2 linked regions of the Saccharomyces cerevisiae S288C genome follow. The gene in region 1 interacts genetically with each later gene. Each region holds a gene or a part of one and is shown on either strand. Other genes may lie near its edges. The genes, in order: ALK1 and RAS1.

Region 1 (4,350 bases):
AAACTCAGGTTATTGGCATTGACGGTGCCATTTTTTGTGTTTAAGATTATGTACGGCAAGACACCAGTTTACAAGTTGAGTTCCTCGACTAGCACCTTGTTCCCTACGTTTGTAAGTGGTGTTTGGTCTCAAGGCTGGTTATATGTTCTCTTGCATCCTCTAAGGACTATTTCTCAGAAATGGCATATAATGGAGGGCAAATTTGGTGCTTCCAAGTTTGATGATATGGCTTTACAGAGTGTCTCTTTGGGAATCTGGGTTTGGGCATTGATGAATGTCATCAACGGCGTGGAATTTATCGTTAAGCAATTGTTTTTGACTCCCAAAATGGAAGCACCTGCATCTGTGGAGACTCAAGAGGAGAAAGCCTTGGATGCTGTCGACGATGCCATTATTTTAGATTAGTGTTATTACATTATGTACGTATATATAATATGTTTATGTATTGGAGTATACAATAGAAAGAAAATGAAATATAAATGTCAACATTCCTATTTGTTTTATTTATAAAGTTTTAGTAAATCTCCAGTATTCTTAATGTCCTCCGTCTCCAATCTTTTGAATAACTGCCCCCCTCTTTTATGAACTGCCAAGTTCATTTCCAAATGGTTTATCACCCTTGCCATTTTATCCCTGTTTGCATCATTCTTACCAAGCTTCCTGTCACCAAACTTTAGTAAAACGCGTGACAGGTAATATAACCAATACAAATTTGTCATGGGCTCAAAAGCTGACGCGTCCATGTTCAACAAGATCCGCATACTTTGATAGATTTCAAACTCAAATTGATACTGGTATTCGTTTATTTTACTCTTGTCTTTCCCATTTAGAAAAAAGAGTGGATGATCTAGCCGTAGATATAAAACATCATCTTGAGGAGTTTGCAATCTACTGCATTTAAAATCAATAATTGTTATATTCCCATTACCATCTATCAAAATATTATCCAAAGTAAGATTACGATGTTCAAATTTCAAATTTTTTTCCAACCCATGAATTATACCAGCACAAGACCAAAAAATCTTTAGAATCTGCTTCCAGTTTTTCAGTGAGATTAACGAAATTGGGGTACCGTGATCTTTGAATAGTAAGTACAAATACAACCCCCCATTTGCCTCTTTAACAACAAAACTTTTCAATAGTTGCGGTATGCCATCAAATTTTTGTTGCATGATTTTGAGTTTTTCCAGTTCCTGCAAAGATAAGAACTTTCTATCCCATGTAATGTCATCAATAGTACCGAGAGAAACTTTTTTACAGATTACTTCACCAATTTGCCAAACATTTGATGTTAATTGTATTGATGACAAATGGTTTACATCGTTGATTAAAGGCAATACATCTCCTTTTGCGGGGTTTAAAATTCTCTTTATATCACAATTTAGTAAAATCTGTCTTAGAAGTGTCTCATCATGATCATTTTTGTTCATCGGTAAAGATGATTTAGAATTTAATGAGAGTAATGAGGTCGAATATCTTAATTTGTTCTGAATTTTATCACGGGAAACTTGGTCCGGTACAGGTAACGATATTCGGTGACTCAACGTAGAATTTTTGGAACTGTAGCTACAAGAGTCATCATTGCTGCTATTAGTTGCTGTCGATGGTGCTATCATGGAGGACTTTCCTTTGTTTCTTTTGAATTTTTGTAAGGATGCATGTGAACTTTTGTGCTTCAAACTTGATTGCGAATTCCTTTTCTTCAACACGTTCAAAGATAGACTTGAGGAAGAAGCTTTGTTTTTCAAAGTAATTTCCATGGAAGATATTGTATCGCTGCTTTCAGAATACGTATTTGAACTGAAGATAGTCTTATGGAAATCTGAAAAGGATGTCTTATGTTTTACCATATTTCTTGGTTCAACGGGCGTCATGGAATCACGACGGTTTACTGCAGGAAAGGTTTTTAAAGAATGGTGGTCTGGTTGCAACAATGCAGGTGTCTGGTTCTTATTTCTCTTCCAGAATCTCCATTTAGACGAGCTGGAAGAAGAGACAGTGGAAGAAATCGACGATCTTCTCGAGGACAATGATGCATTATATAGTGGTTGTTGCTGTTGTGGTTGTGAAGTGGGCCTTTTAGAATGATTAACAAGCGGCTTCAATGGTGTCCTAAGTCTGTTTTCCGAACTAGTGGAAGCAATTGATGAATTTTTTTTGCCCATAGTTGGAGGCAGATTTTCCTTACCTTGCGGAATCCCGATCCCAGGTTGTGATATATCATCGTTTATGCCTATCTTGGTAAACAATTGTCTGAGGGAAAGACCAGTGGACGATCTTTTCAAAGAAGAAGAAGCAGAGATAGAGCTATTAGATGCTACCGTATCTAAGCTTGAATAACTCTGCAAGGATTTTCTTTTTTGTTGCAAAACGTTCCTCGATTCCCTGTCCTTATGAGATTCACTGGTAAAGCTTGAAGAAAGTACAGACCATCTTTTCTTAGATTTAGATGATGAAACAGCAGAATGATTGGATAATAGAGACCATCGTTTTTTGGAATTGGAAGTCGTTTTCCTTGATGTATTATTGCCGGTGGTAACATTTAAAGATGCATCAGACTCCCTCATCTTTAAGATAGCAGAGCTTTCCAGCTCGTCAGCTGTGTCAGCAGTCAAATCAGTGTCACAATCGTCATCATTATCAGATACCTCTAGAGCAATGAATCGTTTATCTTCGACAAATTCTTCGAACGACGTTTCAAAATCCATGGGGGGCTCTACTTGGTGCGATTTAAGGGTATGACTTGATAGTAATTGAATTACAATGTCAAAATGAAGTAGCATTTAGAAAAACTACTTCACATCAAATACTTAATAAATAAAAATAAACATTGATAAAGTTGTTATTTTTTCTATTGTTATTTTGTTTACGTTTTACCAAAAAGGGCAAAGACGATCCGTCACGAGCGATCATAATAACGGGAAGGGAAACCAAACTTATACTTATTTGTTTATCTTTTTATATATGTATATTTTATCTTAGTCATTTCCTTTAATGTGTGGCCAATTTAGACTCTCAAGCCTAATTCAGGTCTCTTTATGGACCTTCTGGTTTTCGTAGAAGACCTGGTTAACTCACCAACGTCCCTCAAAGTTCTACCTTGGGCATCATCCTTCTTCAATTGATATATTCTAACCATCCAGTTTTCGGAAGTAAAAACTTCGTCGAAGTAGTCTAATGGTGGGACGTCTAATGGTGTGATCATTTGTTGACGCACTCTGTCAGTGGCTTGGCCACCATTGAATAATTGTGGGAAATCTTTGTAGGACATCTTGTAAAGTAGCGAGTTCCTCATGGTCTCAGAAGCCCTTGCATCTACTCTGTATTCTCCCTCTGCGGTATAGAAATCACGCTCTTTTATCTCTTCTGGCCAGATTCCCTCGCTAATTCTGATCATCCACAAGAATTTGTTGATGTCATCACCACCAAACCCAATTAGACCACCAAAGATGACCAAGACATAATCGACATCATGCTCTTTTAGAATTTCGTAAGATTTCTCTTCAGGGGAAGCCATGGCTTTACCAACGATGGCGATGTGAGTATTGTTCCACGTGTTGTTATCGACTAAAGTGGTTCTGTCTGCCATGCCACCAATTTGGTAACCGTAATCCCACCACGCTGCAACCTTACTGTCCTCATCAGAGTTCATTCTTAACCAATAGTACGCTTCCCTGAAGTCGTCGATCAACGCCAATTTACCATCTGGGGTTTGTGATGGCAAAACAACAGAAGGAGAAGAGTATGCAGTTCTTGTTACCCAAGTAGAATGGAAGACGAAAAGATACAAATAAAAGATGAATGATCCGGAAACAATCAATTTGGCCAGTAGTGCCGCAGGTTTGATGGCGTATTTGCGGTCACTTGTCTTGAAATCCAGGTAGATGTCAAATATCTTGGACAATGCGACGGCGGCGGACACACAGATGACTGGTGTCAAAGTCAACATCAATCTAACCATAACACCGGCAAAGTACGAACACAGAACGGAGTAAGCGATGACAAAAACGTGCTCGTCTTTCAAGTCGAGGAATAGTAGGAATACACCGGCGGGGAATAGCCAGATCAAAAAGTGGGTATCAAAGAAGAAAGCGGGCCACGAAACGGGTTGATGTTCGGAAACGGAGGCAATGATAGGAATGTGGATCTTTGCGTAGTTGGTATCCCATAACGAATAAAATCTACCAGTCCAAGGGGCAATCAACCCCATATAGGTCAAGGCAGAAAGTCCGACCACACCAAGGACCAAGATCAAAAACAGAGAAACCATCATGATGACTTTAAACTTAGCTGTGCTGATTTGGCCCTTCACGAAGTCACCGAAGGCGACAATCTGAATCAAACCGAAAA
Region 2 (3,562 bases), on another chromosome or scaffold:
TTAGGGGTGATCCAGTGTACATTCATTATCTTGATCCGTGATAATTTTCCATTCAATGCGTTTTTAGCGGGATTCATTATTTGTGTGGGACAATTCGTCCTATTGATGAGTTTGCGGTTACAATTGTGTAATAGTTTTCCAGGCATTTCTAAAAACAGAGCTTTTGCCGAGTTTATTGTTGCTAGTTTGATTTTACATTTCGTTTGTTTACATTTTATAAATTGAGGAAGGGTTTGCCGGCGTGCTTGCATGCATGCTTGTATGTGTATAGTATATATACTTTGTACGAGAATAAAAGAACATATTACAATTGTACATTATAGAAAGCTTACAAAAGGTGGCAGATTAACCATTAGTATTAATGTTTGGTGGCAAGCAACTCTTTTACTAGATACACAGCATAGGAAAATGGATACAAAAAGATGCTGGTGAAACCAATTGAACAAGTAAGAATAGACTTGCAATCAAAACCATGTCATATCAAGAGAGCAGGATCATTTTCAACAAATTATACAACAACCACCACTAGATTCTTTTCTAGCGTTGGCGCTTGAATTTTTTTGTGGCTCAGCAGACTGTTTACTTCTCGAATTTAAGGCATTATTTTGATTACCACGACTAATATCACTTCGATTTCCGTTGCCGTTACTGGAGTACTTGGTATTTCCTTCATTGTTATTGTTTTGATTAACGTAATTCTTTTCATCAGTTCGTTTAGTAGTTTCACCGTTATGGTTAACGGCTGACTTTGAACTGGAGCCAGTGCCAGCATTGGTCAAAGAATTATCGAGTACATAAGACCCGTTGTTCTTTTTTTCTCTATCCGCTGTTGCAGATGAGGTTAGCTCCGAATCTCTTATTTCATTCGTATTATCCAGTTGACGATTCATGCTATTGTATTTCCCACCGTCGTCCCTTACCAAACGAATAAGGCTATAAAAGGCCTCGTCTACGTTGATGGCTTGTTTCGCAGACGTTTCTAGAAAGGGTGCATTCAACTGCTTGGCCAGGCGTAACCCGTCTTCATAAGAGACTTGTCTTTCATTTTCAAGGTCCAATTTGTTACCTACCACGACTACAGGAATGTAGTCAGAATCTTTTACTCTTTGAATTTGCTGATAATAAGACAGTAACTCATCAAAGGAATTTCTAGAGGTGACGGAATAGACCAGTAGGAAACCTTCCCCAGTCCTCATGTACTGTTCTCTCATCGCAGAATACTCTTCTTGTCCAGCAGTATCTAGAATGTCCAAAATGGATACTTTGTCATCGATGACAACTTGTTTTCTGTAAGAATCTTCGATAGTAGGGTCATATTCGTCCACAAAGTATGATTGAATGAATTGAATTGTTAAAGCAGATTTACCAACGCCACCTCCACCGACAACTACTATCTTATACTCTCTTATAGTTGATTTATTTCCCTGCATGTCGTTCTAAAAAGGGAAAATTTTGTTTACCTGTTCAATCGTGAAATAGCCAAACCGAAGTCAATTGTGGCAGCAGTTAATTAAGCATTGCAAGAAAGAACAAGACAGATGATAATAGAGACACCGTACAAGAAAGAATCCAAATTAAGAGAACCATACAAAGACATAAAATATAAACCTTTCAATGTAAAACAAAAGGAGGAAAAAACCTGAAAAGCCGTGAAAAATTCATAATCTTGCGATGAGTTGAAAAAGTTTGTTGTCAAATGTCCATAGACTTACATGTAGTAAATATTTTTGGTTTCTTTTTTTTTCTTCGTGCTTTTTTTTTTTCCTACGGGTTTACATTGTGCCAATGTGAATTTCCCCGCCACTCCCTACCGAACGGGTAGCAGCGTAGAACATAGCGATCAAGGGTGTGCTAAGTGAAGAAGCAATTCAGTGCGGGTAATACATATTCCTAGCCTCGTTTGCCGTTACATTGCATTGATGGTACAATAAAGGGCATGCTTTATATCGAGATGTTTCAGTGTATATGAGGGGAAACAGAAAAGAGTCATTCCTGCCATTTTTTGGTCACTGCTTTTTCTGCTATGAGTAATGGTGAAGTTCCTTGTGGCTACACGCTTAATGTCATCGGGTTACTGCTCCTAATATCCGCATATAAGCTTTATGCAGGGATCAGTTGGGCGGCTATTTATCTACACCCAGTCATCCGGCGTGACTGGATCTCCACTTGCCGCAATAAGTCGGTGGACAAATGGAGATTTAAGAGTAAAGATGCATGATGGTATAATTCCTTTAGTCGAAATAGATATATTTCAAGCGCATATATAGGCAGACGCTTGTACTGTAGAAATAGCCGATATTCAATTGCGCTCTATGTGTGTTTTTATTCCAGGTTTTCCTTGGATTCTACGTATTGTACGACTTTCTTATCCTCCACAAACGTCATCGTGTCAGTAATGTCTTCAGACACTTCATTATCAGAATCTTCATTATTGAAAGAAGAGAGTGGGAGCTTGACCAAGTCTCGTCCACCTATAAAATCAAACCCTGTACGCGAAAATATCAAATCATTTGTGGCCGGTGGAGTTGGCGGGGTATGTGCGGTGTTTACGGGTCATCCCTTCGATTTGATTAAAGTGAGATGTCAAAATGGACAAGCGAATTCCACGGTACATGCCATTACAAATATTATAAAAGAAGCAAAAACTCAAGTAAAGGGCACATTATTTACCAATTCCGTAAAGGGGTTCTATAAAGGTGTTATCCCGCCCTTATTAGGTGTTACTCCCATATTCGCTGTTTCTTTCTGGGGTTACGATGTGGGTAAGAAACTGGTTACTTTTAATAACAAGCAAGGAGGCAGTAACGAGTTAACTATGGGACAAATGGCTGCAGCAGGATTTATCAGCGCTATTCCTACCACTTTAGTGACTGCGCCAACGGAAAGAGTAAAGGTTGTCCTGCAAACATCTTCTAAGGGCTCTTTCATTCAGGCGGCTAAAACCATTGTTAAAGAAGGTGGCATAGCTTCTTTATTTAAAGGTTCATTAGCCACTTTAGCAAGAGATGGGCCTGGCTCAGCTCTATATTTTGCATCTTATGAAATTTCAAAAAATTACTTGAATAGTAGGCAACCTCGTCAAGATGCGGGCAAAGATGAACCGGTCAATATCTTGAACGTGTGTCTTGCTGGTGGTATTGCTGGTATGTCGATGTGGCTAGCTGTTTTCCCCATAGACACTATAAAGACAAAATTGCAGGCTTCCTCCACGAGGCAGAATATGCTTTCCGCCACAAAGGAAATTTATCTACAAAGAGGTGGTATCAAGGGATTTTTCCCTGGTTTAGGTCCTGCTTTACTAAGATCTTTCCCAGCCAATGCGGCCACATTTTTAGGTGTGGAGATGACTCATTCACTGTTCAAGAAGTATGGCATATGATTAAATTTTTGTTAGGTGGACCTGCCTCCCATTTTTTTCTGGCATTCCTTTTGGGAACTTTTTGTTATTTTTTGGTTCTGCAATTTCGTTCAGTGTATGGTAGAAAATATCAGTTGGGTTATCCCGGTTTCCTTGGCGTTGTTGTCGAAGCGTTCATATTTGTAACGCAATGGAGTAAATATA

What was found.
Region 2: of ALK1 (region 1) and RAS1, changing one suppresses a phenotype caused by changing the other (phenotypic suppression), as found in Saccharomyces cerevisiae (one study listed by BioGRID).

The regions. Positions count from the first base shown.
Region 1 is NC_001139.9:453,218-457,567, reverse strand, and holds ALK1 (protein kinase ALK1), read right to left. Parts: upstream 2,784-4,350; coding exon 501-2,783; downstream 1-500. Other genes in the region: GET complex subunit GET1, read left to right, coding at 1-405; dolichyl-diphosphooligosaccharide--protein glycosyltransferase subunit STT3, read right to left, coding at 3,008-4,350. UniProt on the Saccharomyces cerevisiae protein: Serine/threonine haspin-like protein kinase involved in cell cycle regulation.
Region 2 is NC_001147.6:513,112-516,673, reverse strand, and holds RAS1 (Ras family GTPase RAS1), read right to left. Parts: upstream 1,431-3,562; coding exon 501-1,430; downstream 1-500. Other genes in the region: OST2 (dolichyl-diphosphooligosaccharide-protein glycotransferase), read left to right, coding at 1-225; CRC1 (carnitine:acyl carnitine antiporter), read left to right, coding at 2,396-3,379. UniProt on the Saccharomyces cerevisiae protein: The S.cerevisiae Ras proteins modulate the activity of the adenylate cyclase catalytic subunit and therefore affect the biosynthesis of cyclic-AMP.